Struthio camelus: one gene and its partners. The protein of the gene in region 4 purifies or fractionates together with the protein of the main gene of each other region. This does not show direct contact. Links are inferred from orthologs where the notes say so. Each region holds a gene or a part of one and is shown on either strand. Other genes may lie near its edges. The genes, in order: LLGL2, NIPSNAP2, PARD6G and PRKCZ.

What was found.
Region 1: the proteins of PRKCZ (region 4) and LLGL2 purify together in Homo sapiens (affinity purification with mass spectrometry; 7 studies listed by BioGRID and IntAct, counting the BioPlex papers as one, with this or other methods). This does not show direct contact. The link is inferred for Struthio camelus from reciprocal best matches to the Homo sapiens genes PRKCZ and LLGL2.
Region 2: the proteins of PRKCZ (region 4) and NIPSNAP2 purify together in Homo sapiens (affinity purification with mass spectrometry; 3 studies listed by BioGRID and IntAct, counting the BioPlex papers as one, with this or other methods). This does not show direct contact. The link is inferred for Struthio camelus from reciprocal best matches to the Homo sapiens genes PRKCZ and NIPSNAP2.
Region 3: the proteins of PRKCZ (region 4) and PARD6G purify together in Homo sapiens (affinity purification with mass spectrometry; 6 studies listed by BioGRID and IntAct, counting the BioPlex papers as one, with this or other methods). This does not show direct contact. The link is inferred for Struthio camelus from reciprocal best matches to the Homo sapiens genes PRKCZ and PARD6G.

Annotation. Positions count from the first base shown.
Region 1 is NC_090960.1:8,491,798-8,499,606, reverse strand, and holds the start of LLGL2 (LLGL scribble cell polarity complex component 2), read right to left. Parts: upstream 3,001-7,809; 5' UTR 2,879-3,000; intron 741-2,878; exon of another isoform or gene 693-740; intron 1-692. Other genes in the region: TSEN54 (tRNA-splicing endonuclease subunit Sen54), read right to left, coding at 5,770-5,920, 7,070-7,186. UniProt on the Homo sapiens protein: Part of a complex with GPSM2/LGN, PRKCI/aPKC and PARD6B/Par-6, which may ensure the correct organization and orientation of bipolar spindles for normal cell division.
Region 2 is NC_090957.1:15,436,453-15,443,828, reverse strand, and holds the start of NIPSNAP2 (protein NipSnap homolog 2), read right to left. Parts: upstream 3,008-7,376; 5' UTR 2,936-3,007; coding exon 2,850-2,935; intron 1,005-2,849; exon of another isoform or gene 1-1,004. Other genes in the region: MRPS17 (small ribosomal subunit protein uS17m), read right to left, coding at 5,703-5,993, 7,357-7,376. UniProt on the Homo sapiens protein: Protein involved in mitophagy by facilitating recruitment of the autophagy machinery required for clearance of damaged mitochondria.
Region 3 is NC_090943.1:94,492,760-94,500,697, forward strand, and holds the start of PARD6G (partitioning defective 6 homolog gamma), read right to left. Parts: upstream 3,016-7,938; 5' UTR 2,775-3,015; coding exon 2,703-2,774; intron 1-2,702. UniProt on the Homo sapiens protein: Adapter protein involved in asymmetrical cell division and cell polarization processes. May play a role in the formation of epithelial tight junctions. The PARD6-PARD3 complex links GTP-bound Rho small GTPases to atypical protein kinase C proteins.
Region 4 is NC_090962.1:2,921,708-2,929,316, forward strand, and holds the start of PRKCZ (protein kinase C zeta type), read right to left. Parts: upstream 3,006-7,609; 5' UTR 2,493-3,005; intron 2,390-2,492; exon of another isoform or gene 1,917-2,389; intron 1,030-1,916; 5' UTR 897-1,029; coding exon 826-896; intron 1-825. UniProt on the Homo sapiens protein: Calcium- and diacylglycerol-independent serine/threonine-protein kinase that functions in phosphatidylinositol 3-kinase (PI3K) pathway and mitogen-activated protein (MAP) kinase cascade, and is involved in NF-kappa-B activation, mitogenic signaling, cell proliferation, cell polarity, inflammatory response and maintenance of long-term potentiation (LTP).

The DNA of each region.
Region 1 (7,809 bases), on a different chromosome or scaffold from region 4:
AAAAAGATAACCAAAGCATCATTTAAGTACTAGGGGTCTCAAGTGTGCCAAGTGCAGGAGCCATCAGATCCAGCAGACATGATTCACTGTGAAATGACAAGTTTTAGAACACTTCCAGCTTGAAATCAGTGAAGCAATCCCTAGCTATTTTCTAGCCGGGCTGTCACTGTAAAGTTCACTTCTATAACCTAGCTCAGCCGCACACACTAACAAGACAGATACTAAATAAGAAAGCAGAAGCCAAGCAGAAGAGCTAGAGCAAACGAAGGAACGGTTGCAGCACATTGAAAGCTTGGAAGCGCTAGATACCATCTTCTTCCCCCCAGGATAAAGCTTCTTTTGGAAAGACGTTCCTTCTAAAAACATCAGTAATCTCATAGTTTACTAAGACCAAGCAAAAAGCTCCCTTACATGACATAACTGCTGATCAACTGCTAGCATCTCATCACTCACAGCTTTCCAGAAACAGGACAGCGCTCAGATGCATCTTGCATGCGTTAATTAGGCACTAGCAGAGAAGACAGCTGAAAGATCCTTCCATAAAAAGGATTTATTTTTTGCAAATCTGGAGAGAGAGACATGTAAACAGGCAGTTGAACCAGCTACATCAACACTTTGTGCAGGTGGCCACCCTTAAAAACTGAAGATAGATCCTTCTGATTTCTTAGAAAAGGATCGAGAACCAATCTTACCAATCAGGAAAGTTCATGGACTTCCACAGCTTTGCGTTCAGAGTTACCAGCAACTGCCCACTTGTGATGAATTCGCTAACTGTGCAAACTTATGTGTCATTATGACTCCTATTGTATTCTCCTTGTCATGGGAGCATGACAACATGAAGTTTCAAAATGCTACAGCAGAACAAAGTCTTTGCATTGGACAACGTTATTGCACACAATGCAAAACTCTTTGTAGACTTCTAAATAAGAAGTGTGATTCAAGTGAAAGACAGAATGGCTCATCATCCTGAAAATAACTTCAGGATAGCATTTTTACACCAAAAATAGTGGGGACGTGAAAGCATTTTCTTTCTAAAGCCACACAGAGAAATCCACCTAAAAGAAACCTGTAGGTGAGATTTGGAGTTTCCATACAATTTCTGCACAGAGGTTGAACTTCCAACTACTGCCAGTCCCTCCCTGGATAAAGTATTGTAAAGAAAGATCAGACTAGTAGCAGTATCACAACCTCTTACTGGGATGTAGTAACTGCATTACGCATATACGTTTAAATCCTCTTACCCTTTGACATTTCTCAAGACGCTAGTCAGTCAGGAAAAAACATCTGTCCCACAAGCAATTCCCCAATAATAATCAAATTATTGTACCAGAAAGCAACTGGAAGATACAGGATTATCTCAACCAGTTTAACTCCTCCAGTAATTTTCTTCAGTCAGTAGCAACAGTAGATGCAACTTGTACAAGACCAAAGAGAAGAGATGCTCTTCAACGCCATCCTACAGAGATGTTTAAAAACTCTTCCCCCTTTTAATACCAGAAACTAAACAGAGTCCCTGGAGCAGTTACGTCTAGAAGAGTTCAACAAGCAGCATTGAGCAGGACTAGCGAGCGCTCAGAACTCGCGCAGACCATCTTTGCCCCCGCCGCGGGCCGGGCCGCCTTGCGAGCGCGAGGAACGCGTCAGGACGCACGGAGAAGCCTTGGCCGCGACGTGCCACCGCTTTGCATCCCGCTTGCTAGAGCGCCAGCTTCCCGAATCAAAGATGAAACCAGCAGGCAGCCCGCTTTGGGCCTCCAGCTTCACCAGGGACTTGGTAAAGCAAGACATTCCAGTTGACCGAGGTGCTCTCAGATGACTACAAAGAGCAGCACTGCCATTCAAGTAACAGATTACAACGGACGGCTTTTAATTTTACTATCTCAGTGAAGCTCTCTTCCCATCTTACCTCTATCCTCACGTAAAGCTTTACGCCACTACGCTGCAGAAACAGTCCCTTAAGTTACTTCAACAGCTCCGTGAACAACGTGAAACGGAAACACGCCGAACAGCCTCCGCAGCCACGCCGAAGCCTCACCTCGAGGAGGCGAGGGGCCGCCAACCAGTCTGTCCCCCCGCCGCAGCCGCGGGGCGAAGCCCCCACGACTCCTTTCCCCGTCTTGCTTGGCCCCCTCGCTGGCTGCTAGAAGCAACGCGCCCCCTCGCCCATCTCGCTCGTACGAGTTTGGGGAAAGAAGGGAGAAAAGTGACACCGTATGCTGAGTATCGGATGGGGGATGTGAACAGAGCGTCCCGAAAGGGCGCACAGCCGCTCCCGAGCGCTCTCGGCGCCGGGGCCGGGCGGCAGCAGCGCTGCGAGGGGCCGCGCCGGGCGAGGGGCGGCGGCGGCCGGGGGGATGCGGCCGGCCGGGGGGGGGGGGGGGGGATGCGGCCGCCCCGCTCGCACCGAGCGCCGGGACAGGAAGTCGGGAAGCAAAAGAGCCGCCGCCGGGGCGAAAATCCCAGGATGTAAGAGCTCCCCGGCAACACCGCGCGCTCCGTCCACAGCGAGCGCAATAAACTAAACTCAGTTTAAAAACAAAAAAACAAACGACAACAACAAAAAAAAACGCGTTACGGGAGAGCCAAAGCCGGCTGCACCGGGACGCGGGCGCCACGGCCGGGGCCGCCCCGCCGCCCGCAGGCGGGTGGCCGGAGGAGGGCCCGGGCGCCGCGGCGGAGGAGACCGCCCCAGCGGAGAGGGGACGCGGGGGCGGCGAGCACCTGCCGGCGGCTCCGGGAGCGGCCCCCGCGGAGGGGGGGGGGCCTCCGGCCCCGGCTGCTCGCCACGGACCCACCGGGAGGGCCCCCGTCGGGCACGGCTCGTCACCCCCCGCTCCGCTCCGCTCCACCCCGGAGGCCGAGGCCGAGCCGCGCTCACCTGCGGGGCCTGGAGCCGAGCCGGGCCGCCCCGGCCTCGCTCCGCGCCCGCTGCCGCTGCCCCTCGCCTGCGCGGCGGCGGCGGCGCCGTCCTCCCTCCCTGGGTACCTCCGGGAGGGGTGCGGCGGGGCGGGGCCCCGCATGCAAATCACCTCCCGGGGCGGAGCCTCCCCTCGCTTTCATCCGGCCCCGCCTCTCTGGCACCGTCATGAATAATTCAGCGCTCCGCTCGCTCGGAGCCAATCAGAACGCGGCCACAGCTGCCGCCGTCCTATAGGCAGCCGCGCGCTGTGCCGCGTCACGCCATTCAAGCCGAGCGGCCTCACCGGCGCGCCCCGCGCCGCGGCCCCGGGGCGGCGCGGACGGGAACGGCCGGGAAAGGCGCTTTCCAGCCCGCTCAGGTGTTCGTCAGCGCCAAGGGCCCCACGCAACGTCGAGAAAAGGGGCTCACCCGTCATCGGCTGCAAAAACGAGACAGACTTAACAGCAAGTTGAACCCTTCGCGGGGATCAACCGCTGCGGGGAGCCCGGGTCCTGCGGCAAGGCAACAAGAGCCAGGCTAGGACTGTGCTTATGTGGCAGTGCAACAGCACTGCGAGGTCTGTCAACGTCTCTGCAGCGACACAAAGCTTGAAATTACCTCAGACAAGTTTTCAGTAATGGTCAGTGTTTCAGCCGAGCTTCAAAAGGTGAAATTATTCAATTAAAATACTTTGTCATCTCCTTGCAACATCCAGCTCTTCCACATCGTGGGTCCAAACGAAGCAGCCGTATCAGTCTGCATCACAATCTCATCCCGCGGGGTAAAGGCACCGTCAGATGGTGTGCTGCTGAGCAAGGCAGCCACAGTTTCTCAATCCTCCCTGCCACGGTTATTAAATTGTAATTGTTTTGTGCTGAATCAGGGAGTCTCTGCCCTAGCGAAACTCACTGGGTGGCTCTTGTCCATCGATACAGTTCCACCTTGGCATAAGCAGATGAGGCTCTGATTCAATTCAACAGGAGCGCACGCATTTGACCTAATTCCAGGACAAACGTGAGCCCCATGGGCCGGACTGGAGCTTTTCTGCCTATGCCTGTTCTTAGACACTCACCTCCCACTGCCTTTAATCTGCAAAACAGTCTGGGAGAGCGCTGAGGGATCAGACCAGAACTGCCAACAGCCCTGGCTTTTTAAAGAGGACTATTAGAGTTAAAACACAGCCCCTCCCAGGAGGGAGGAAGAGGAAAAGGAGGGTGTGTGTCAGAGGAGGTATTAAATTAGACCCTCAGCTCAGTGGAGCCCTCATGACTTCCAGCATCTGGTAATACAGGTGTGTGCACGGAACAGGAATAGGTGAAGAGCTTGCAGCAGATCGCTGCCACCCTGGGCTACAACACCTCTGACCATGCACCAGGAAGATGGCAAGGTGGGGGTGTGTGCCGACAGGGACTGCACGCAGAGGTACAGACTCCTCCTGCCTCTGACTCGCGATGCCCTCCTAGGGAACTAAGGCATGGTTGATGGCGAGGCCCGATGAGAACACAAAACCGGTGTAGGAAAGGGGCCATGTAGCCACCTAGTTGTATGACCAGGAGCAGGCATTCAGGAGCTAGTGCTACTGGCGTCCAGACAGCCTCCCCAGAGCATCCCTCTCTGCCTAGTTTCCTCAGAAATGTTAATAAGTTAACACTCAGGAGCTTGCATTGTTGGAAAAGGCTTTTTATTCTTTAGCCTTTGCCTCTTCCCCAACCCCAAAAGGAACTCAAACATTATCAAATAAAATGCATCTAAAACAATTGGTATTACCTTTCTGACGAAAGCTAGATACTGAACGCAGCCCTGCTCAGCATCCTTCTATCCACTGAGCAGGCTTTCTGGCAGCCCTCACTGGTCATTTTTCAGAGAGGCTAAAGCAGATTTGGTACCTGCATATCCTGGCAGAAGGCTCCCATGGTAGGGCCTGGAAAGCCATGATGGGATACTCATCCTCACTTTGGAGCACAAAAGCCACGGGACTGGAAGGCTCATGAGGAATCTGTAGCTTCTTTTTTTGCTCAAGGATCTCTCACTTGCAAAAGAAAAGACAAGGAACTACAGCCAGAAAAAGGGATGTCAACAGACAAAACAGAGAAGGCTGCAGTGCAGCCCTGGTGAGAGAATCAGACACAGTGTGCTGATATTGGTGGCATAATTTTAATAAAATATAATACTGTGTGGCCAAACCACATCTCCGGACAGCCATTACAGCACGAGGCTGGGTGCCATCTGCAATGCTCTGGGGTTTTCTGGGACCTCTGGTTGACAAAACAGCGCACAAAGCCCAGAGTTTCCTGCTCTCAAATATCTAGAAATTTGATTCCTTTGGCTGAGTTTTATGGCTGCGACTTTGTTTTTCACATAAGAATCTGATCCAATGTTCGTTGGCGCAGCTGAATGACAGAAGCTCAGGAGACCACCGCTGACCTGATCAGCTTATTCTGCCCTGGCTGACCTCAATGATTCTCCAACCGTTCAGACTGGCTTAGCACAGTGGTTCTTAACATATGAAAAGAGGGTCACCAGCAAAGTATTTTCTAGCGGTCCACAGGACAGATAGACATGACAGGGAAAAGGCTAGTCGTCCATGAGATCAGAGAGCTGGAGAACCAGTGGCTTCAAGAACAAAGCGGTGTGTATTCCAGTCCAGAAACGCCCGGCTAAGCTGTACACACTGCTTGGCTGCAGTAAATTTGCTTTTATAGATGAGCCACCTCCTGGTTGAACAAAACCAGTTGCAGTGGTGGACTACCAAGTGTAAGAGTTGGTTATCATAAGCTCTATTTTCCATAGTATTTCATTAATCAAGAAAACAAATCCTGAATAAAAGCTCTCCCCTTCATCCCACATCACTTCTGCCCGTGACAGCAACTTCAGTGATTAATATCAACTGGCAGCTTGAATTCCTTTAACGAATAAAAGGCAATTTCTCCATGGTCCACCAGTGCAAAGACCACCGGGACGTCCCCACTCTGGTATGTGACCTGCTTCAAAGCTCGAAGGGATGGAATCTGCTCGTCAAAGCTGTAGAAGGAAAAATAGTTCTCAAAGCACAGAAGAATACATAAACCCAGCTGTTCTGGGAAGTTTTGCTTATCAGAGACAGAACAATAGCTAGACAATTCACAGCAACAAGCCAGGCTGCCCTCAAACTTCACCCAGCTGGGCATCCCTGAAAAACCAGAGCTCACAATGGTCACCCCCTCTGGTCTCATGAGCTGGAACTGACTCTCCCCACACTTCTCAAGCAAAGCGGGAGACTGCCAGCAGTGAGAGCACACCACATGCCAGGAACCAGGAGCTGTCAAATCCTTTGCTGAAAACAAGGGCAACTGTACAGTGCTCCATGCTGTGGCTATTAGATGCAGCTCACAGGGCTACTGGCAAGTTGCCAATCCAATCTAAATACTTTTATATTAGGAAGTTCTTTAGGTTGCTGGGATCGACATCTGACCTCCTTTTAATTCCATTTAAGAATGAACAGACTCTGCAGAAATATTTCTGCAGTAAGGATCATCCTACTAATTCATAACACAGACCTTTGTAAACCTGAATTACCATCTTCCTTCCTCTGTCTCTACTGAAGTTGAGAGTAGAGAAGAGACTGTTTTAGTATATCAAAACTAGAAAAGGCAGAAATTGAACTTTGCATCTACCTATGGAATTTAAGTATCAGATTCTGGATCGGGCAAGAAAGCAGATACCTGCCCCAAAATTACATATGACAAAGATCAAAATACTAAACCCATGGCCCTGAGCCAGTAGTCACCTCTAGGTAGGCACAGCTCTGCATAAATCCACAGGGATCTGCACTGGCTGAGGAGTCACATACCATATGGCTCTCTGCAAAACCGGGCTCTGTGCGAGTTTCACAGGCATTGCATAAATACAGCTGTGGCTGCTTCTTGTTCCCGACTCCAGTAATACCCGCATGAGCAGCAACCAGATGACCAAACAGTGTGGGCTGAGTGCTAGGGCTGGGGGAAGAGTCAGCCACAGACTCCAAGAAAGGAGGAACAGAAAGAAAAGGAAACCTCGGGGCAGGACCACCCTAGAGGCAGTCACTCTGATGATCTGCAAAGCCTCCAAGATCCTGGGTCATTTACAGACCATTAGGATCCCCACATCAGCAACAGGGATATTTCAACAGAAATCATAATGCACTATTGATACCTCCGTACACACATCCTGACATAGGGCTTTCCAGGATTCGTCTTCTTAAACTTGGCCACAGCATCTGCTTGATACACATTGAAGTCTATTGTCATGCCCTCTGTGTCCTCCTGCAGCCTGCAGAAGAGAGAACACATCTGTGTGCTTATGGGATTGACAGGTCACAGGGTATAGCTACAGCAGAGGAAGGAGGGAGCAAAAGCTCTGGAAGCCTGTCTAGTCTGGGCTTTTTAGAAAGCTTCACTCCCCAGAAAATTAGAACAGTTCCAGGGTCAGTCATTTACTTCCCAGACCTTCCCCCACTTCCTCATGTCAGACCAGAGCAAGCTCCTTCCCCACATCCGCCACGCTCTCCCTCTCCCTGCATTCCTTACAAGAAGTACCACAAACACAAACCGATACAGGAGCAAAGCACTGCGCAGCAGGGATGGCAGCACATTCAGGCATGAGGCAGAGGTGAAACATAACCAAACCTGTGGGCGAGATTCCCTGGCCAGCATGCAGACAGGGAACATCAGGAGAAGAGAGCAACCCTCAAAGTTACAGTCAGCCTGGAATGCCTTGGTTCCCTGACCCAGAGCTTCATGGAAATACCAGCCCTTTGCTAAAGGTGCGAGAGGGCCATGGAACAGAGCACTGGATTCTCTTGGCATCCTGGACACTAGGCAGCTCCCACGCTGCTGCTGAGAGCGTCTCGCAGACCTCACAAGCAGGGACAGTCACAAGATGCCCCCTCTCCC
Region 2 (7,376 bases), on a different chromosome or scaffold from region 4:
AGATATTGGATCCAAACTATATGAATGTCACTAATGTAAATATGAATATATGCACAGAATGAATGTAGACACACTACATGGAATTAACATCACACTTCACAATTTTTTTATTTTCTAGGAACAATACTTATCAGAAGAGAGTTTTCACAGAATCTTCTAAGACACTGCTTGACTTTGCTAGGAGGTTCTTACCCTACAAATGTTTAACTATGGACTTAGCTTTTATTATACACACGAGCTTTTTCAGAATCGGGTCCTGTCGTTGCACCTGATACAGCAGTTCAAATGGCACGTTTGTGAGGATGGTGCAGAGAAAAAGCAAATGATTGGGTGAAGTCAATCCACATTTCAAAAAAGCTATTGTCAGCTCCTGTGTGTTATTTCAAAACGTAGAGGTCAATATGTAATTACTAGAAAAAACAATGTAAAGTTATAAGTATTTTAATTATGTTCCAGTGACATTTTCAGCTACCAAAGGATGAATATCATGATTTTAAAAACCTAAGTCTATCCTTTTCTACTTTTAATTCCTGTATACTATTGACAGACTGATCCATTTCTCATAAGTTTCATCCCCCAGAACCTAGCACAATGCCACAAGGATTGGTTTGCAAATACAAAATGGGAACACTGAAAAGTTTGCTTATGTTAGACTAAAAATGCGGGTGAAAATAGTTCTATCCCACTTAACTTCTGCTTTAGCACAAAATATAAATTGGATGGAGAGGGAGGTATCAGGTCAAATATTTAAACTTTGTAGTAACTCATGTCTGCCTGGAAGAGAAAGAAAAAGAACTTGTCTACAAATTGACAATTTTTGATTTGTGGTCTAAACAAACGTCAAAGTTTATTTCAAAGAAAAATACTCATGCACATAAAATCTCATAACATGTACTCTCCACAACTCCCCCCCTTCCCACTTCAAACAGCTGCTTGCAGAGCTCATCCCTTTAGCCTTGCACAGGGGCTGCTGTCCGTTCTGAGGCTTGAGACAGCAGCTTCCCCTGTTTCAAAAAGAGGGAGGAAAAACGGATGTAGATCCATCCCAGCTCGGGCGCTCCTGTGCTTCCGACACCCAAAGAACGTAACGTGTGTCTGCTCCCCCCATACCCAAGGGCCATGTGTATATATCCATGCCCAGACACCTGTGAGTTGTGGATGTGTGTGTCTGTGCCTTTGCCACCCAAGGGGTGTGCGTGTGTCTGACTCTTCACAGACTGCACGTGTGGGTGTGTGAACGCCTGCACCCAACAGGCAAAAGGTGTGCTGTGTATGTGCCCTGGGACCTGGGGGATGTGTGCATGTGCACACACACACCAGCACCTGAAGGAAGCATGTATATACGGCTGTGCACCCTGACACTCAGCAGCTGCATGCAAGTGCCTGCACCCAACACCAGGGATGCATACACGGGCGTGCACATGTGCAGGACTGCACCCTAACACCCAAGAAACACACGTCACACCTTGACACACAGGTAAGTGTGCTGTGACTTGACAAATGGTGCGTGTGCAGCTGTGCACCCTGACACCAGATGGGTGTTGGCAGTGTGAGCAGCCACATGCCTGGACTCAAGGAACACACAAGCAAAGGACGGCTGTGCACCCCGTTGCTCCATGGGGTAGGCGTGCAGGGCAGCTGTGTGACCTGACACCGTGGGTGTGCACCCTGACACCAGGGGGTGTTGGCATGTGCCTGGCCATGCACCCCAACACCAGGGGATATGCAGTGCAGGGTTGCACCCTGTTGCCCAGCAGGGGAGGGATGCAGAACGGCTGCGCACCCTGACACCGGGGGGATATGTGGGTGCAGGATGGCTGTACACCCCAGCAGCAGGGAATACGTGGGTGTGGGATGGCCGTGCACCCTGAAAGTGTGTGCTTGTGTGTGTCTGTGCACCCTGACATCCAGGGAACACATAGATGGGGGGTAACTGCACAACCTGTTACTTGGTGGGGCAGGTGTGCAGGATGGCTCTGCACCCTGACACTAGGGGATGTGGAGGGGGTGTCCTGCACCCCAACACCAGGAAGGTGGAGGGGGAGATGTCCTGTACCCTTACACTGGGGGATGGGGAGAGGTGTCCTGCACCCTGACACTGGGGGATAAAGGGGGGGGTATCCTACACCCCAACACTGGGGGATGGGGAGGGAGATGTCCTGCACCCCGACACTAGGGGATGGAGGGGGTGTCCTGCACCCCAACACCAGGGGACACGGGGTGGGGGGGAGATGTCCTGCACCCCGACACTAGGGGATGGAGGGGGTGTCCTGCACCCCGACACCAGGGGACGCGGGGTGGGGGGGGAGATGTCCTGCACCCCGACACTAGGGGATGGAGGGGGTGTCCTGCACCCCGACACCAGGGGACACGGGGTGGGGGGGGAGATGTCCTGCACCCCGACACTAGGGGATGGGGGGGCTGTCCTGCACCCCGACACCAGGGGACGCAGGGTGGGGGGGAGATGTCCTGCACCCCGACACTAGGGGATGGGGGGACTGTCCTGCACCCCGACACCGGGGGACACGGCGGGGGGGGGGGCACGGCCTGCAGCCCGTCGCGGTAGCGCAGCGATGCCGCGGCCCTCGCCAGGAGCGGGCGGCTCGGCTCGGCTCCCCGCGGGGGCGGACTGGCGGAGGCGAGGGCAGGGGGCTGGCCTGGCGGCCCGTGACCTTGAGGGACGGCGCTGCCCCCTCCGCCGCCGCCGGGCCCAGCGCCGCCCGCGGGGAGCGGGGCGCCATTTCCAGTCAGGAACGGGGAGGGGGGTGCCGCGCGGCGGGGCCGAGTGGACCCGCGGCCGGCTGCGGCCTCCCCTCCCTCCGCACCCCCCACCCCGTCCCAGAGCTCACCTGAGGGCCAGGCCGCCGCCGGGCGGCAGGCGCGGCCCGCCGTTGGCTCCCGCCAGGCTCCGCCGCAGCAGCACTCGCGCCGCCATCTTGCTCCGACCGCCTCCCTCCTCCGCCGCCTGGCCGGGGGGGGGGGAAGGAGGAAGGGGGCGCACTGCGCCGCCGCCGGCCGCTAGGGGCGCGCCGCCGCCAGAGGGTCCTGCGGCCCCGCCCCCGCCGCTGCGCATGCGCGGGCGCCGCTGCCCGGGCCGCCGGCCGCCGCCGCCGCGGGGCCAAGCGCAGCGCAAGGCTTCGTCTCAGCAGCGCCCGGGAAGGGACCCGCTGACCTTCCGCTGCCGCTCCCCGCGCTTTTAACCAACAGAACAACGTGCAAAACACACCAGCTCGAGCTGTCGTTCCTAAAGGCTATCGCATTCCTCATTACCGTTGCAGGTGGAAGAAAGTAACATGCTGTCAAGTGCCCCCCGCCGGCTGTGTTTCCCCTCACCCAGCAGGCATGCAAGGAAACGCATCTGTGAAAGCCTTTAGCTGTAGTATCCAACCCCGTTGGAATTACTGGTTTAATCTTTCACTCCTGACCTCGCAGAAAGTTTTGGAAGGCTAAAAAGATGCCACTAAGTAGTAGGGTAATGTCCCATGAAAATTACTTACCAAGAAAGAATCCAGAGGGTATTTTCTGAATCACATATAAAAAACCTAGTTTCTTATTCACCAAGTAAATTTTTCACCCACATGCAGTTGAAGTGTTCATTCTTAATCTGTTCCAGCTATAGTACTTAGTTTAACTAAACCAGATGGTGTGGTAATAATCAAGTCTTCAAATAACTTTTTTAAACTAAGCTATCATTTAAAGGACTTTACTAAAAGAACACCAATCAATTAACACAGCAAAGAAGTTTATGAATAAAGCCTGAGCTTCTGCATAGCACATCTAAATGAGGTCTACAAAATTTCATTAGGTAAACCTATTGTCAGTCATCATCAGCACACACTGCAAAATGTCAACACTGCATGTGCCAGTGTTTGCTCACAGTAAAATAGAAAAACCTGTGGTGCATCTTTAAAGACCCTTTTAACTTAATATGGGACTGACATTTTAAAAAAAATACCGCATGTACATTTAATCACATTTTGACCTGAAAGCATGTTAAAATCACAATTAGATGTAGATGCTACTCATTAACCAAGGAGAAAACTCCTTTATTTTGCATTGCTTAGTTAGTAGGACACTCACTTGCATCCCAAAGAACTGGGTTCAAATTCCTTTACTGACTGCTTGGATACAGTTTGTTATCTCACTGAAACATAAGATATGACTTGAGGACTGTGAGAAAGAAACAGTCTAGCATTCAAAAAGGTAATATTTTGGTTCAGAAACACTGAAGCTAAGCTAAGTCTCTCATTCCTCCTAGCTCAAATTATTTGTTGAGTTCAATCTGACTTTGCCAGCAGTTTGGGGACAGCCGAAACTGTCATTTTGCACCTGTGAAGGAAACCAAAAAGTTAAAAGCGCAAATACTTTACAGCATCAGGACACTGAAAGAACTGATAGCTTACTAATGTAGAGTGGTTCAGTTTCCAAAAAAGAAAACCAAAATACTTTAAGTCACCAGCAGAGGAATTCTATTCAGAAATTCCTTCTTTAGCTTCTAATCTTAAGCAAAGAGCAACAACATAGATAAACACACACCTATTCACACAGGATTCCTCATAGCTTTGATATACTCACTCTCCTCCATACAGGAGGATGCTATGCCATCCCTGCAAATGCTGTTTTGACATGGATTTCCTTTAGAGCTGCATACAAAGCCAACCAAAGTCAGCTACACAAGGCTGCCGTAACAGCATACTCTTAGTTTACGTCTGGGAAGACAGGACACATGATCCCCAGAGCTGCAGCAGGATAAATCGTTAACCTCTATGGCCTTCCTGTTTTATATTACAGCACTTAGCAAATCAGTACCTCTCTCTCTCCCAATGTGTTGCTTTAACTAGCTCTTCTAACAAGACTAAAATCTAAGCATGTTTACTTTCACTTTGTAGCTTTGTATTCTCATCACCTTCTATTTCCTGCTGGCAGTTCAAAGTTCCTTCTCTCCCCAAACTGAATATATTCTCTGGATAAGTTAAATCAGTTGCAAAGGAAGCATTTTTTCCTCCTGAAATAAGAACATTTATCCAGCAGTTTATGAGAGCTAACGACCTTAATGACAGTTCTTAATTTCCCACCCCTGACTGGGGCAGCTTAGCAAACTCTGTATAGATTTCTTCCCACAAAGGGAACCACGCTAAGCTACCCAAAGTTTATAACAGCAATAAAGTGACAATATTTAAAGGCAAGTGACTGTTTCTTAGACATTCTGGAAGTTGTAAAATACAGCAATACAGTTGAAGTGACTAGGAGGCAATAAGGACACACATAAGGTAGTTGGCTTCAAGATTTCTATACTTCCTTTCAAAAGTTTTAACATCATTGTCCTGCATTTCTGACAATCTTTGTTTGTAGGCTTATACTTAAAATACAGACCCCTCCCAGCTTAAACATTATACAGTTATAGTCTTCTGTTTCTCAATACAGAAGAGCCATTGTAAGTGAATAGCTGGCTTCCGAAACTATCAAGAGGTCAGGCAAAACTACATGCAAGGTGACAAAGTGTTAACACTTAACTGACATTTTCATCATTTTTTCATTTAGAAACTTGAGGTGCTCAATCTGTAACATCCAGTTTTGGAAGCAATTACGTTTGCTATTTATTGTGACTCCAAAAATCATCGAAACATTTCACATATGACAATGGGGCCCCAAACGCCCCTCACAGATCAGCCGAAAAGCCCTCCACATAAACGTTTTCCCTTCTATTTGTCTGTTGAACAAACTTTAAGTTCCTGGAGCTTTTCACTTAAATAGGTAGTATCTGCCTCTGTCAGATTTTCTGAATCTGACAGATTCTCAAGGAACCTGGTTCCTGCACAGGGCTTTCCCGTTATTGGATCTATGACATTTCCAACCTTGAAAACAATTTCAGCCAGTTCGTGTTTCACATGCTTGCTCCTCCGCTCAGGCAAAGCTTTTAGAAGAACAATGTCTCCGACAACACACTGCTGCAACGGATCATGGGCAAAATAAGTTTTTCGCTTGTTAAAGAACTGTGGAAGGAAAAGCATTGGCGTTAGGTTCCAAAATGAAGCAATGGTAAATATATATTTAATACAAAGTGAACTAAATTTCTCTAATGAGAAGTACAGTTTTGCATAATTATTCGCCTTTGGTTTTCTGATGAGCTCAAGTTTGGATTGTGAAGAGAAGTGCAGTTGTGCACAGTACTGTTTTTTCAAAGCAAGCACAGTATTACCACCTTCTCTTGACTTGCTAGTATGTTATTGCCAACAAGAGTCTGGAAAAGGAGATGAGGAAAAGACAGCAAAGGTACAAGAAGTTGCTGATAGTGAAAACACGGATACAGGCAAAGATAAGCTTTTCTTCACTTAACATAGACGCCCTTTTCTAGCATCACCACTTCCCATTGGCCTTTCTCTGCTCTTTAGTTCTTGTTCTCCATGTTAGCCTTCTCTCCCCTTAGGATGCTCCACTTCCACACTGCTTCAGCAAGGCAGCTAGCTGCCTTGGCTCTTCCAAGCTGAATAATCTGACTTTCCTGAACAGTTTATACTTCAAAAACAGATATCAATTCTTACCCATTCTAGCACTCTTAAAGCTCATCAGCCCCAGAGTTGGTGTTGCACTAAAGCTTGTCATATTTTTTCAAGTTTTTTTGCTCAATTCGTTCTTTCACGTAATAGTTCAATATTTAATCCTATTGATACTGCAGGATTCAGAATCTCTCCTTTAAGGAGAGAATCATCAGGTTCTTCTACTGTATAAAGTACGGGTCTTGTGAATCCTAGTCCAGTTATCCCAGGACCTACAAGAACTCCATTCTATTCCTAGCCTTCTGGTCACCAAGGGCAAGTTATTTCACCTACCTGTGCCATAGTTTCCCCACCTAAAATTGGGAAAATACTAATTTTAACCTCCCTACTTGAGATGCATTGACAAGAAATTACAAATGCAAGGCTCTTCTAGCACACCACAGCATAGATTCAAATACTAAATAGGCTTATAATTATGCACACTGGAAAACAGCTACAAGAGTGTACTGGAAAAGTGACTAGGTAATGTCAAGCTTCCAAGATAAAGCATACTCCAAATCAATATTAAAAAAATTATCAATCTAAGCATGAAACAAAGCCTATCCTCCCAACTCAGATCACAGTGCATTAAAAAAGCGCTCCAAAGAAACACATTTAGCAGATAATCTCTATTGTAAGTGTCCTGATAATACACTGCTTTTCATCTTTTACAGTTATCCCCACAACCAAATCATTGTGCAAGTCAAAGAGTTTACAGCATAAAGAGCTATTAAAAATTTTAAGAATCAAATCAATTAAAGATTCTGCCACACAGAACACAAACATTATCTTGTAAAACAAACCATTAAGCAGCTTTTACCTTTAATAAGTAAGGATCTA
Region 3 (7,938 bases), on a different chromosome or scaffold from region 4:
TCGCCTGGCAGGCTACAGCATTTGAAGATAGATGCAAAATCATGAGTTCTCAGACTCAACTTTCTAGTTCTCAGGCAGGTTTGGACAGGCCTTGTACTTACAAAACAGAGGCAACTAGATGTTTAAAAGGCTGACTACATAAGGCTACCAAAAGCAGCATTACTGAATAGAAGGTATTTAAGTTTTTCCCCTTCCCTCAGCTCCAGACAGTCCAGGCACCATTGGCCAGAGTTTCTCACTGGATCGACTTCCACAATCCAATAACTCCCTCTGAGCAAACCTGTGAGCCTTACGGACAAAAGAAAACCACCTCGCAATTTCGGTAGCAACCTCTCCAACAACTTGATGCACACAAGTCACACTAACAGTAAGCGGACAAAACGACCCACCAGAACCAGGAAATTCAACAGCTGGCCTCCCTTGACCCAAGTTGCACATTAATGGATCATCACTGGGTGTAGGCCCTCCACATGCTATTTAGAGTTCAGCCTCTATTTTAAGTTCCCACCCTACTGAAGCAGTGCTGTTCTATAAAGTAACGTCTGTGCCATTAGCAGTAACTTCCCTGAACTATAGAAGGCCTCCAGTAAACCCCTTCCACCCACACAAGTTTATTTGCAATGGATTTCCTTCTCTCTGCAGGTCTGCAGTCACTCGTTCACACTCGCGATCTACCTAAATGACTTGGTATCTACATGGCTACATAGGATTCACTTAAAAGATTTCTACAGCTATAACAGAGGCTATGTGGTGTTCATTATAAGATTGCTTTTAAATTATTACTAAGAGAACAAATTTTACTTTCTTCCACCTGAATACTGCAGTAAGAGTATGAACTTAAAAGTTCCTGTCTAACTGGGGTCAAGTTTTTACTTTGAAGCTTGCATTGGGTATAAGCCAGTGATGAGAAAACTGGATCTGGAGGATTTGGGGGTCATATCAAATGTTGTGGGGGCGGATTACACCTTAGAACTAGTACAAACCGAACCAAAATTTTCCAGCTGTGTAAGCAAGACGAAAATGTCCCTGGCCTGCTGACCCCCTTCGAACACTCGAGTAGCAATGGGAGGTTAGGAAATGAGAGCTCTCAACCCACGTTTCAGATGTCACCTTCGGAAATGATTGGAGAGTCCCCTGCACGTGAGATAGCCCTCCCACTGAGACAGAGCTATAGGCTGGCTGATCTCAATGCAAATACTAACAGCGGCAGAGGACAGAAACGGAGAGCACTGAACACAAACAAGAGTGCCTGACACCTCAGCTCCAACACTGTGTAAACAGGTAGCCAGTGCACAGTTTCCCAGAACATGCGAATGTTACTCCTTACTTTTTTCCAACCTACTCACTGATCAGACATGTGTATAGAAAGCAGGCTTCCAGGGAGATTTCTGAGTTTTCCCTCAAGCAGGAGGTGTTTTTCCACCTAGGAGAGGTGGACAAGATTTTGATGTGCTGCTTCAAGCAACAGCGACCAGACCGGACCTGTTGGAGAACCCTCAGCAAGACCAACTGTAAAAACAGAGAACTGAAATCATCGTTTAAAAAAGCCGAGCCACAACGCGCAGCTGTGCCCGCGCACGACTGTCCTGTGGTTCGCAACCCCGCTGCTAAAAAAATAAGGGCTTAGGCACAACCTGCTGGCTCCGCCAGGGCAGGCGCGCCCCGTTCCCCTTTGACACCCGGCAGAAGGGACGGGCGAGGGAGAAGCCGCCGGGCCTCGCAGCCGCCACACCACGGCGACGCCACCAGCACCAGCCTGGCCCCGTTTTTCCACCCACTTCCCTGCCCGCTCCCTCGCTCAACTCTACCGGGGCACCTGCGGACTGCCCCCAAGACGGATGGCGGCGGCATCTGGGGAACGGCTCGCCCTCTGAGGCGTTTCGGGCCGAGGACGGTGCCGCCGGGGCGCGACGCGACGCGACGCCGCCAGCAGCGGCGGCCCCGCTCGGGGGCCGGCGGGCCCAGCTGGGCCCCGGCGGCTCCCTCGCTTTCGGCGAGGCGGCGGGGAGCCCCGCTCCTCCCCACCTAACCAAACCGGTTAGAAAATAAGCAGAAAGCGCTAAACGGCTCCGCTCCGGGGCCGCCAAGCGCCCAACCAGGGGGAGCACGGAGCCCGAGCAGCCCGCGGCGGGCCGGGCCGAGCCGAGCCGGGCCGGGCCGGGGACGCGGCGAGCCCCGCCACGGCGGCAGGGCGGGCGGTCCCGCTGCCGCCCCCCTCCCCTCCGCACGCCGCTAGCCGAAAAGCCCCCGCCGAAAAGCCCCCGCCGAAATCCCCCGCTTTTCGGCAAAGCGAAAACAATGGGCGGTTTCGAAACTTGCCCTCCCTCCTCCTCCTCTCCCCCCCCCCCCGCAAAAGTTTGCGCCGAAGTCCTTGCGGCGAAACAAAAGATCGAGCCGGAGCGGCGGGCACGGCGCCCCCGGCGCCCGCCCGCCCCGATCCCGCTCAGCCCCCGGCCCGGCCCCCGCGGGCCGTGCGGGGGGAAGGGGGTCGCGCCGCCCCCGGTCCCGCCGTGGGGGGGGAGGAGGCGGGCGGGGCGGACACACACCGCCGGAGCCCGAGCGAGGCGCCCCGCCAGCTCCTGCCGGCGCGGGCTGCCGCAGCCGAGCGGCGCGGCGGGGGGCTCCGCGCACGGCGGGGAGCGGCGGGGGGACGGAGAGGGACCGAGCCGCCGCCGGCCGAGGCCGCGCCGCGCTCTCCTCACCTTACTCTTCACCTCCACCGCGCTGCACTCCAGGTACCGCAGAGTCTGAGACTTATTGAAACTCCGATTCATTTTCTCGGTCCCCGCTTGCTTCCCCCGCCGCCGCCTCCTTCTCCGCGCCTCGCACACCGAGGGCTGCGAGTCCCCCGCGGGACGCTGCCCTCCGGCGGCCCGGCCCGGCCCCGGCGGCTCCCGCCGCCCCCCGCGAGCGTGTCGCGCCGCGCCGCGCGCGGGGCTGCGGCCACTTTGTCCCGGCGCGCCAATGAGAGCGGCCGCTCCGCTGGGCTCGCGCTCCGGCTCCCAACCGCCGCGCGGCCCCGGCTGGCGGCCCGGCGGGCAGAGCACCGCCTCCTGCGCCCCGCCTCCCGCCACCCCTGCGCCCCGCCCTTCGCCTCGCTCGCCCCGCCCCTTCAGGCCTCTCGCCCCGCCCCCTCGCCTCTCGCCCCGCCCCTCGGCCCTCGCCGGGCCGGCGGTGGCGCGAAGGCGGCGCGGGCCGGTGCGCCCCCTTGCTCGACGTCCCCGACGGCCGCCCACACGCCGCCGTGCAGACCTGAGCGCCCCCTTCTCGCCCCCTTTCTCCCCGTCCCCCCCGGGGCAGGTGGCAACGGCGGCGGCCGCCGCGCCCCACGAGTTCAGGGGGGCGGAAAAGGACATGCTGAGGTGACTTCTGGCATGATCCCACGTGCGCGGCGCGACCCCGAAATCCAACAGCTGGTTTAAACCGAAATCACAGCCACAGCGGAGGCATGATTAGTATTAATTCTGGTTTAGATTTTTAGTTTTGCTTTTTTTTTTTCCCCCCCTCAGGGAAAGTCAGTTCTCAGCAGTTAGTAAGTAATTTAAATCTGTAGTCTTTACGCTAAATGTGGTACTTTCTCCTGGTATCCGTGATGCTCATTTGAGAAATACAGATTAAATTCTTTTGGACTTTTTGTTTTCTTTCAGAAAATGCAAATGCTTCATTACCCTCTCTTTTATATTAATAACGACTTTTAAAGCTAATAATGCCTACCTAGCTGTGGGTAACCGGGAAGAGGATTCAATTAAAATGTTCAAAAAAGAACTAATTTTTTGTTCATACAAAAGTCGCTAAACCATGCTGGATCCGTTCAGAGCAAAGATACGTTTTTCAAAGCGCAAGTCAGAGGTTGATTCACTAGTAGAGCTCGGGGGACTTCCACGCTCCCTGCCCTGTCAACAGCAGCCATCCGAGGTCCTGTTCATATTACCACCACCACAGAAACACGCAGCCCTCTTTTTCCCATCTACCCTGTCCTTGAAGCTAACAGATTTATTAAGCGCACAAATTACTGTATTTCAGGAACGGAACTAATGCTGTTTCCAGTTCTTGTATACTACAGCGTTTTAGAAATAGTAGATCGCTGCCTCTCACTCTGCTTTTTATCCACAGATTAGAGGAGCAGCTTCTCCGCTCTTCAGTTTTTGCCCACTTTTTCAACTTTGAATTAAACACTCATCACAGTAAACAGGGTGACTACACCGATAGGAGGAAATACGGTCTTTACACCGACAAAGAGGCTACTGCTATCAAAGGATCTTTTCCAAGTACTTTAACAAAACTTGGTTTCTGCTGCCTTTTCCCAGTTTATCAGTTTGTCTCTTAAAAAAATCCCATGCGCAAATATGAATATCGTATTTTAAATTATTTTTGTTCAGACTTTAATACACGTTGTCATAATTTCAAGTGTAATGATGTGAAGACTTTTAAAATAAAAATGTGGTTTATTTAAATGGCATCCAATTTGAGTTAAACATCCATTATTTTCTAAATTAAAATAAGCAATTTTTTTCCCACTCTCATCAGGGGAACGATCGGTTTCTGGATAGGTCGTTGGTTAGGCCAAAATGGGCGCACACATGGGCAGAAGGCCTGAGTATGAAAATCTGATTGTATATTGAAATTTGTAGAAAAATACAACAATATTATATAAGTGCATAGCGTTTGTTGGATAAGAAAGTTTCTCAAACAACTGTCACGAAATCCAGTCCGTTTTTGTAGGTTTGTTAAGATACAATTTTTTTTTAACGTTTCCAAATTGCATTTAGATTTGATCTCCTTTCTGCAGAGGAGAGCTGGGGCACATGATTAAGGCAGCTTCAGAAAACTTGTCCTGCTGCTGTCTACTCTTCCCATGTCTATGCTATACCTTAATGAGCAGTGTCTTCATCTCCTTTTACAGCAGGAACAAAAAAATGCTTGTTCTCAGACTGCCCTGGCTCCGTGGTGCAGCAGGCACTGCAGCTCCTACCTGCTGCTTCCCCCTCAAACTCTTGCCATATTTCAGTCACGAAGATGGTTTTAATTTGACCGCTTTTACTCAGGCACCTTTCAGCAATTTTTTCATCATTTGCCAAGGGCGCCACATTCCTCTAACCACTTCTGTAAGTTTTCATCTGTTTCGGTCATCTGTAACTAGTTTTCCTGTTTCTCACCTGCAGAGCTAAGATCGCCGTTTCTTCCGTGGTAGCTGTGTCCCAGCCCTTGCTGACGTGAGCATGGCTGCACTCACGCATCCCTGGCCCAGTCCCTTAGCCCCTTTCTGCCCTCATTTCTTGCCCTAAGTACGGCAGGGATGCTACAGCCCAGAGATCCTATCAGGCCGTACATTTAAATATAAATATTCAAATACTCCTCTGTTTTAAAAGAATTTTGTTCACTGGGGGAATGAAAGGTGCTGCACTCTGTGCCTGATGTACTCCTGCAGTGCTGTTTTCATCAAGCAAGGGACTTACTCTGATTAGCTGCATGCCTCATTAATGTTAACAACAGTCGCCTACATGTTTTGAGAAGTGAAAATTACCGCAGACTCACATCCAAAGATTTATTTTTCCCCTTCGCGCTGAATTTGCAAGGGTTACAAATGATAAGTCCAAATGGCTTGGGGGAGCTGCTGCAATGATGGACTGGTTTGGGTTTCTTTAAATGTAAAATGAAATGAAGCATGGCACAAAGCAGAGAAGAGCGGGGATGATGACTGCTGTTTTGTACGTAGCGAGCAGTGTTCCTGCCGCAGGGATAATAGTTTCTACTTAATCAGCTGCAGAGACCAATGCCAGGGAACACCAGTTGCCCCAGTGCAGGAGACCACCCACCGGCGAGCAGAAGGAGTAATGCCACAGCCACAGGAGCAGCGGGGACATGGGGAGAGAAGACTGCCTGCCCCAGTGTTTTTTCCACTGTCCCTTCCCTTACGCTAAAATGTCTTCTTTCTCTTTCCTTTCAAGAGCTTTTGCCTGCAGGCCTTCCAGAGCTGCATGTTAATTTACTAGGAAAAAGAGCAAAGAGTTTGCTCCCAAGGGGTGGGGAAACCCGACGCTTCTTTACTACCAGGAAGATGAAGCATCAAGGAAACCTCTCGCGTGACTTAACTCTAAAGTAGTCCCAAGATGAGCGGCCAGATCTACGGCTGAGGAAATGGCACCTGCTGAGTTGTACCACAGAGCTCACGAGTGAAAACGGAGATGGACACTTGCTATGACAGCTTCCAGCATTTCCAAAGAGAATGGCTCTGCGCTGCCGAGGACCTTCGCTTTGCTTTACAAGGCGAAATACTGCTGGAGAGAACCAGGCAATAAAACGATGCCAGGAGCAGTATAATTTAGAGCTCGATTTCTTTGTGTTTTACAACAGCGCCTGCTGGGAAAGGAGCAGTGTGAGTGCTCCCAGGCAAGGGCTGTGCGAGCCAGCCTGATGTGTGCCCGCCACCCAGCTGGTGGGGGCAGACGGGGGTCCCAGCAAAGCGGGAGGCAGGCGTCCTGGCCTTGGTGGATTTTCGCACCCCTTTGACTTATCTGGTGGATATTATATAACTGGTTATGTACTTACAGTTATTAGCATGCAAATAATTCAAAAACCAAAGGAGCTGAGAAGCCACAGTCCCAGCAGCTAATCTCCAAATATCATCAGACAGAGACTAGAAATGGGTTACCAAACTGATTGTTCTCTTTCCAAATTACCTCTAAGTGGGGTTAAATGCAACAGCACTTTGCAAGGATGGCAAAGGTTGATTAGCAGAGGCGTGTTTGGGGGTGGGAGGAGGGAGGAGAGGAGATTGTGCTGCGAATTCTGCCTCCAAAGAATGCTCTAGCTCTGTAAATCACTAGGATAAGGCATTGCTCACTAAAGACTGCAAATATTCAGACTACACTTGTTCTGCTGAATTTCAGAATTTTTGCTCCCTTTCAAAGAACTTTGAACATTCCATTGCTTCGATTCTTGGTTTTCCTTTCTTGATTAACAAAAAAAATATGAAAAACAATAATGTCTCCCAAGTGTCATTCATTTCAAGCAGGCAAATAGATCTCATCCTCCGCGGGTTACCTAGAAGTAGATCCTTCTACTTCCATGTGGGATAAAAATTTTGCTTAAAATGTAAATTCTTGTCACTGCAATCAACACAAGCATTAAACAGGGTAGCAGATACACCTCAACAGTGTTGCAAGATTTCCGTCTCCATTGCATGGTTTTGTGGCTTGGTAACAGAGACTAGTTAAAGAAAAAAAAAAGCACAAGTTCTGGCAAGGAGAGCATTTCACACATTGCTGGTATGAATTTTGAACATGCAATGGCCGTGCAGAAGCACTGAGTTAATTTTCAGAAAGCTCTTCAGGTTTCTAGATGAAAGGTGCTGTATAGACAGAAGTTACTCTCAGTGTCAAAACGATGACTGCAAACACTTTAAAATATATTTGACTTAAAGAAAGCGCTAGTGACCACAGGCCTGGTATGTGGGGACTTCTGCCTGATTCTCTTCCCCCCTCGAGATGAAGCTAGCCTTCACTTTGTCCCTCTACAGATGGTCCTACTTCTATGGTAAATTGAAGCATAATAGTAAGTTTGCAAGTGCAGGATCCATCTTCTAATGAGTTCCGTACTGTCAAATGATTTATGCAGCTGACATCATCTCTATCTTCCCATGCATCTTTTCTGTATTAAACTGTAACTTAAATTAGAATGGGTTATTAAAATACAGACAATGATAGTGGAGTTACTTGTTTGCAGTAATTGCTAAGTTTTCTAATGGACTTTAGTGGACTGGATCTTCATTAAGTTAATGAAATGGAAGGAAATTCAGTACTGTTAATTTGTAATGTTAATACGACTATGAGAAAGCTACTATCATGAAGATATAATCATTCCTTTCTTCTTCTTTCTGTGGTCCAAGTGCTTATCTATCTTGTTTGATGACCACTGGAATCTGTCACACTGGGTGTA
Region 4 (7,609 bases):
AAAATAAACATTGTGTCTTGAATTTAGATTTTTAAGAAAAAACACACACACTGTTAAAACTGAGTCTTCAAGCAGCTTACATAGGCTCAATCTAAGTTTATTCATAATTTGAGATTTAACTAAAATTCTCTCTTCCCACATTTACCTAGATAACTCCCTGGCAAGCATTCTCTTCAAAATTTCTCAAGAGGCAGACAAATCCAATGACATCTGATTGTTGCTTCAAGATTTACATATTTACCCACAAAAAACCCCACCTCCAATAATTTTCCAAACAGTGACCACTGTAAATTAAAAACAATATCTAAAAAATCCCACCGGAAAAGAGCTCTCGTACTAAATACCATAGATTCTGTCCCAAGGAGCACACAGTCATGAACTGACATCTGTGAGTGGAAACCTGCACTTAGTAGTCTCCTGCTAATTTCAGTGGTAATCTGCAGATTCAGAGCTCACAACATGAGTAAATATAATAAAGTACAATAGATGTATTTCTATATTATAAAAATATAACAACTGTATCTGGATGTAACAGAACAACTTATCTGCCTGTGAACGTAAAACACTTGCAAGAAAACAGAAAGCAATAACCCATCAACCCAGACTAAGGAATAAAACAGCAACTCTTTTAAAATGTTTCAGTGTGCTGCAGTTGTTGTGGATGTTTATTTTAATAGCCTAGAAGTTTATATACTTGTCCTGACATTACATTCAAATCCATCAGCTTCCTGGTTACTCTGCTACTAAGTGAGACTATAGACTCCTGTTCGATACGCTTCAAAATTAGGTATGACACAATACACAGGAGGGAATATGTGGACTTACCCGCTATAGTGTGTTTTCACCCTGATGAAGTCTCTGTTCAAATTAACTTTTGAGCCCATTCTGCTAGGCATGGTCTAAATTCAACAGTCTAAATGAATGACTATATGGTAACTATATAGAAAGAGCAGATAATTCATTTAATTCTTAAGTGAAAGACTTCAGATGTGATATATGCACATCTTTTCCAGACGACAGTCAATCCAGCTGAAAGAAAGAAAAATCAAAATACAGATGAATATACACACGCTCTACTGAACAAATGCGTTGTGTCAGATTTTGTAAACTCAAGTAGCTTTACATATAAAGCCAAAAGAAAACAAAAGGAAAACATACAATAAGACTTGTCTGGCACAGTAATGAAGTAAATCAGTTTAAACTACCCTGCATTGCATAAGCATTCCAATTTATAGACGATCGGAACTCAAGACAGTTTGTTTTTTGGGTTTTTTTTTGCACAATTGGTATAAAACATTTAAATTTTGGTTTTTTTAAAGGACAATATTTTCTAACAAAATATCCAGTAGTTCCTTCCTGGCCAGAAATACTCAAAGGAATTAACTACTTCTTCATCCATACTACTTCTGGCTCTTTTCTTTCATACAGTAGAGAATTCCAATTCAAAGTAATTTGCATATACATGGAAGACAGTTACTCATTCATGCTAATTACAAATTTATTCAAGAAAAGTGAAAGAACTCCAAAGGGCTGTCTAAGTTGCCTTTAGAACTGGACTCTCAAGCAAATATCCTGCTTCTTCAGAGGTTCTCTCTGCTCCCTCCCATATACAGGCATACTCGAAAATATTTTCACACAGCTCCCTAAGCCCGCTCTCTAGGGAAGCGGGGCCACACGGACCATGGAAAGATGCCAGAACTTGGGCTCCCTCCCCTGCTGGGGTTTGAGGGCACTCGCAGCCCCTTCCCGCCCTCCCCAGGGCTCCTCCGGCGCCCGCCGACCCGGGGGCGACGCCGCGGCCCCGACGCGCGCGGGGAGCGAGAGGCAGGGGACGCTTTCGCCCGGACGAGGCCTCTCCCTCCCTCCCTGCCGCGCCGCGCCCAAGGGACGCCTCTGGGGCTCCCCCTTCCTCCTACCTACTCTGCTGCTCCGGCCGAGGCAGGTCCCTCCCCGGCGGCCGGGTGCCCAAGGATCCCCTTCCCCATCACCTCCGCAAAGCTCACCGACAACGCCCGCCCTCCGGGCCTGCCTCTCCAGCCCCGTCCCAGCAGAGCTCGGCTCTCCGCTCCCGCCGCCCCCAAGTTGCTCAAAGTCCCGCCAGGAACTTCGGGTCGGACCCCGGCTCCGCTGCCCTCCGGGCAGGCGAGTCCCCCGGGAACCGTGGCGGCAGCAGCACGCTGCGGAAAGAGCCCCAGGTTCCCCCGTAGCTGCTCATCCGCTCCCCACCTCAGTAACCCCCTCCTCCTCCCCCTCCCCCTCCCCCTCCTCCTCCTCCTCCTCCTCCCCCTCCTCCTCCCAGCCCTCCTCCTCCTCCTCCCAGCCCTAGCCGCACCAGCGCCACCACTCCGAACATGGCCGACGAAGAAGCACCCACAACCAATAGAGCCCCTCCCACTCTACCTGCCGGCCAATAGCAAACTCCGGCTCACCTGCAGCCAATCCCCAAAAGGATATTCCCCACCCGTGACCAATCATAGGCTAGAAACCGTTACCTGAAGAGTAGGAGCCTCTCAGCCAATAAAAAGCCATAGAGGGAGCGGAAGGCGGGCGCCTGCAGCCAATCGGAGAAGCGAGCGGCGGGTGCGCGGCTCCCGTGGGCGCGGCGGGTGGGGCGGTAGGTGTGATGGGAGGGGCGGGGCCAGAGGGGGCGGCTGTCCTCACACGACAGCGGCCGGGCGCGCTCTGGCGCTCCGCCGTAGCCCTAGTCCGTCCCTGGAGGGTTTCGGTGCCCTGCTGTGCCCGTGCAGCACCTATGCGCTCGGAGATGTGGTAGCGCCGTGGCGAGAGGAGGCCCCAGGCCCGAGAGGAGGAGCAGACGCGACCGTTACGGCGCTGTGAGGGCACAGAGCTACGGTTCTGCTCTCCTCGGAGCCCTCTAGAGAGGTAGTGGGTCGTCCAAACTGCCGAAGGCCCCTTGGCTCTCCGGTGTGGCCTCGCCCGGCCCCCCCTTAGCTTCAGCTCGCCGGGAGGCGCTGGCTCGCTGCGGGAGGAGCGGCAGCGCCCCCTCGGGCTAGGCAGCGCCGGGCTGGGGGCAGGGAGCGCGGGGCCGCCTCGGGGCAGGGCCGGGGGCGGTGCTGAGGCGAGCGGCGGTGCCCGGAAGGAGCGGCGCTGCCGCCCGGAGTTAGAGGGAAAGCTTCCTTTCACAAGAGTGTAGTTCCATGGAAGGGTAATCATACCACCCAAACCGAGAAGACTTCATTCGGGACTGTAAAGGCAGGAAAACTGCTGTCGAAATAAATAGGTACAGAAGAAATGAAACAATAAAAATAACAATATCGTGACTTCTTCTGAGTAGCCACATCGGGAGGGGAGGAAAAAAAGCAATGGACTACGTTGTTGTAACGGTGCTGACTTACCTACGCTTTCACAAGGGCAAGCCTGTGAAACGTCCAATGTCATCACTATTTCAGTTTTATAAAGTGCTTTTTTTCCTAATGCTACTTTGATCTGTTGATTTAAAACTATGAATCAGCTATGACTTAAGCACAGTGGTCTCCTCTGTTCTTTGGACAGAGGTGTGGGATAGTTGTACTCACAGAGTCCCCTCGTGGAAATTAAGAATTAAAATGGCCAGTTAGTTTTCTTCTATACCTAAACCAATTTGGCAAGCCAATAAGCTATCCAAACAAAAGGCTTGCCTTGGAGCTTTTGCTTAGCTGTTTGCATCTCCTTCAGGTAACTAGTCCACTGAACTCTGAACAATAAACCAAGCCAGGGTGTCACAACCACTGTGGTTTGGGTTTGACTACTCCGAGTTGAGCAGTCATAATCTGTATTTTGAAAATGAGAAAAGACTGATCCTTAGTCTCTTGCTATTACCTTGTACACACCTACCTCAAGTTTCTTTTAGACACCATTTTGCGCTTTTACAATTCCCTTGAGGGTTATAGGAATGTGTGCGCTTGTACGAATATAGCGCTAATGCTTTGTTTGGTGTCTCTATGAACTTCCAAAAATATGAATAATGCTTAATACTAGTTTAAGTAGGAGTACAGAAGCAAAACTTATTCCCATCAATCTAGATGTTTTCTGTGACTCCAAAAAAATGCAGCAGTTGGTTTGATTTAACAGTCTTTAATTTGAATAAATAATGACTCCGTTGCTAACTTTATCTCAATTGGAATTCTCAGTGTTGTTTCAAACTGGACCCTTGAATCTTCATATGTTTCAGATTTCATCTTTAAAATGGAGAACGTTATATAAGATGTGTCAACGAACATGCTTTATTTCAGGGCAAACTAGACTTTGATCTCTCTGTCACCTCAGACATCCTGTGATACTTGAGATGTTGGGCAGTGAAATAAAAGATGGTGTAGTTCTTCAGAACTGTGATTTATTTGAATTTTTTTGTTGTTGTTTTTTCTCAGCACAGCTTGCTCAGGACAAATTGTTGGATACACTTTCAGCAATTACAGAAAACCTGAATACAAAGCAATTTGTATATCTTGCAAAGATTTTTCTTTATTGGTCAATTAGTACTCATGCTGTTACTTTTAAAAGTCTTATTTTTTGTTGCTTTAGATTTTGTTGTATTACAGGATTGTTTAAACACTTGAATTTGTTAGTAGATATTTCTCACTTCTGGGGAAAAGAGTGGGCAGATGGCTTTTTTGTGGGAAGATGTAGGTTTTCCTCTGTGCATTAGTTAACAAGGTTGTAACTGGTTTGAAAATGCAACATATTGAAAGATCATTGTGTCTGGCATATTGTTTTTGAAACACAGCTAGCTTCTGTTGGCCTAGAGCCTGTAATCCTGAATGTATTTCTGATCCTGATTATTTTTTTCCGATGACAGAGCATTGCACTTTTATCTTCTACAAAACCACTCTCAGCTTAATAAAACCAAAGCTGTTATATGGCTGCCAACCGCACCTAAATTTGAAGACCTGATAGTATCCTTATTAACACCACTATTTTGAGGGTCCTACAGGTCAGCCATTTTATTTTATGCCACCTGTACCTGTGGTACTAAATACTCATATGCATCAGGTTTGTGTATTGTTTTGCATTCTTATCCCTTCACCTCAGCATCAGTGGGTTTAGTCCCAGTTTACACAGATATGACCACAATGATAATCTAGCTTTACACATGTAAGGACCAGGTATACATTCAACCTCACTGTCCAGTTGTGCAACAGATTTATAGTGGCAGTGATGAAAACTGTTTTACTAAAGAATGTATTGTTGTTATTGCGATTGCTGCAGTAGAGAAGTTTGCTATTACCTCATGTTACTGAATTGCCTTTTTGACTAAAAGTTATGAACATGCAGAGCGTTGGTTTCTGAATGTAACATCTCCTTGGTTATTTAATTTTATGAGTGATTGTGATATTTTTGAAGTCCGTATTTATATAAATGTGTATATCTACATGTTTCCAGCAGATGGCAAAATATTCCTAGGCAACTGTCTGGGAAAGAAACAGCTGAATATACAATGATTATTTGTGCTAGTCCCTTATTTTAGTCCTACAGGCCACTGAGAACTGTTCTTTAAAGATTAGTTTAAAGGGAAAACAAATTATTTGGGGTTAATAGCATCAATCTAGAGTCCTGCTTCTGGCATCAGATCTAGAGTCCTGATTCAGGCATCAGATGTCTATGTTAATGGCTATTAATTTCACTAAAGTGCAAAGTTATTTTATCTGTATTTTCCTTTTTAAAATTCCAAGAAACATTTGCTCTTTAATGGCTTTGGAAACTCCAAGGCAGTGCAACTGTTTTAGTGCCTCTAAGAGGAATACAATACTTCCTTATCGTGGTCCAATCTGCTCTTCAGCATTTTGAAAGAAATAGGCTGCAATTGCATAGGAAAATTGTATCAAGGGGATATTCTTTCCTTTCTGTCTCAGACCCTTATTCAGATAATAATGTCATGCATGCATGTGTGTGTGTGTGTGTGTGTGTGTGTGTGTGTGTGTGTATACACATTTATATATGTATATATACACATTTTTATATATAAAATGTTGGTGTGTGTGTGTAATTCCCTTTATTTTAACAGGACTACCTGCATTAAAAAAAAAAAAAAGGGCACAAAAATACCCCACTGAATCTAGAGAAGGAAATTATACTAGTTTATTCTGGTCTCCATATGGAGCAAGTAGTATCTTTTAACCTCTTCTGTGAAAAGAATAATATTCTGGAATATCTCAGAGCAGTTTCACTACATGGGCCATTCAGAAAAAACAATTGTCAAATATAACTTTATACACCACAGTCAGGAAGAAGTGAGAAAATTTCTAGGTTTAAATGTTAATTAATTTGAATACAGTAGAAATAATTTGATCTCTCACATGTAGTATTTGCTACTAGAATTTTGGCACGGTTAGCTACAAAAACAGAAAAAAAACATAGTGTATTTTTTTTTTTTTAGGTTAGAGGGAACCGTTTTCTCTTCAAGTTGTACTTCAGCATAACTGAGACAGAAACAAATTTTCTCAGCCCTCTTTACTCATCCTGCCTAAAACCTGTAAGTAATGTTTGTTTTTGGAAGGTATGTACTGCATCTGAAATTGCTTTGTGTGTATGAAATTTTATTATATATTAACTGTAGTTCCTATTATTTCCACTGTACATTTGCCTCATTGTGATCTACTGATAGACATATTAGTCTAATGGAAAACCATTTTAAATTTTCCAAATAGCTCTAACTTTTCTTTATAATCTTAGCATTTCTTTTTTCACATTTTGGTACACAGATCTATTTGAATGCCATGTTTTATATTAACCTATTGCTATTCTGGCAGCTACCGCTCCTGCAAAAAGAAGGGAAAAAGGAGTATCCTAACGTTACTCTTTCATACTATGTCCTTCCACTTGCGTATGCTGGTATTGTAAAGTACAGATCCAGAAAAGTGATTCTCTGAATCCAGACTACAAACAGAAGGAGAGATTTAAAGGTACTGGGTATTTTGGTTGCATAAAAGAAAGCTCGGCCAATTTTTTGCTCAGTAGAATACAATAAAATATATTTCAGTAGAGGAATGTTCATGTAGTTGGGTTAGTGAAGAACTGCACTGTTCTTGTGAGCTGTACTTTTTGTTGAAACAATCTAAGTCACAGGTAGGGCTGCTTTTTAAATATTTATGAAGGGCGTATATAACATGGATGTTGGGATGTTTACCATATTTTAATGTTTATTTAAATGGAGAAGGGGCTGTAAAATCAGATGAATGGTTTGAAACAAGATATCCCATAAGAAATACTTGAGAGTCATCACAGAAGAACGAAAGAGTTATTGACTAGCAAGGTTTATTTTTTCTGTAGCTCAGATCACAACGTTATTTTTCACTGAGAGCCTCAAATCCCAGGGTTTGAGCAACAGAGGATCTTGATTGAAAGGGATACCTACCCTCACTAAGGGACAAACTGTTAAGGCAATACATGAGAGAATTCTTCAGGGAAACATACAGGAATCCACTAGAATGTCTAAAGTAAATTTTGCCTGTGTTCAGTCAGATGGTCAGTATTTGACTAAAACAGGCATGCTCATAGGTTGCTCATTGTTTTAAGATTTTCATGCATAAGTTCTTTGTCTGCACCTTTAAGATTAGTTATACTTTAGTTTAAAAAGTTGATTCAATAACTGTAATTATCAAGTATCTCAGAT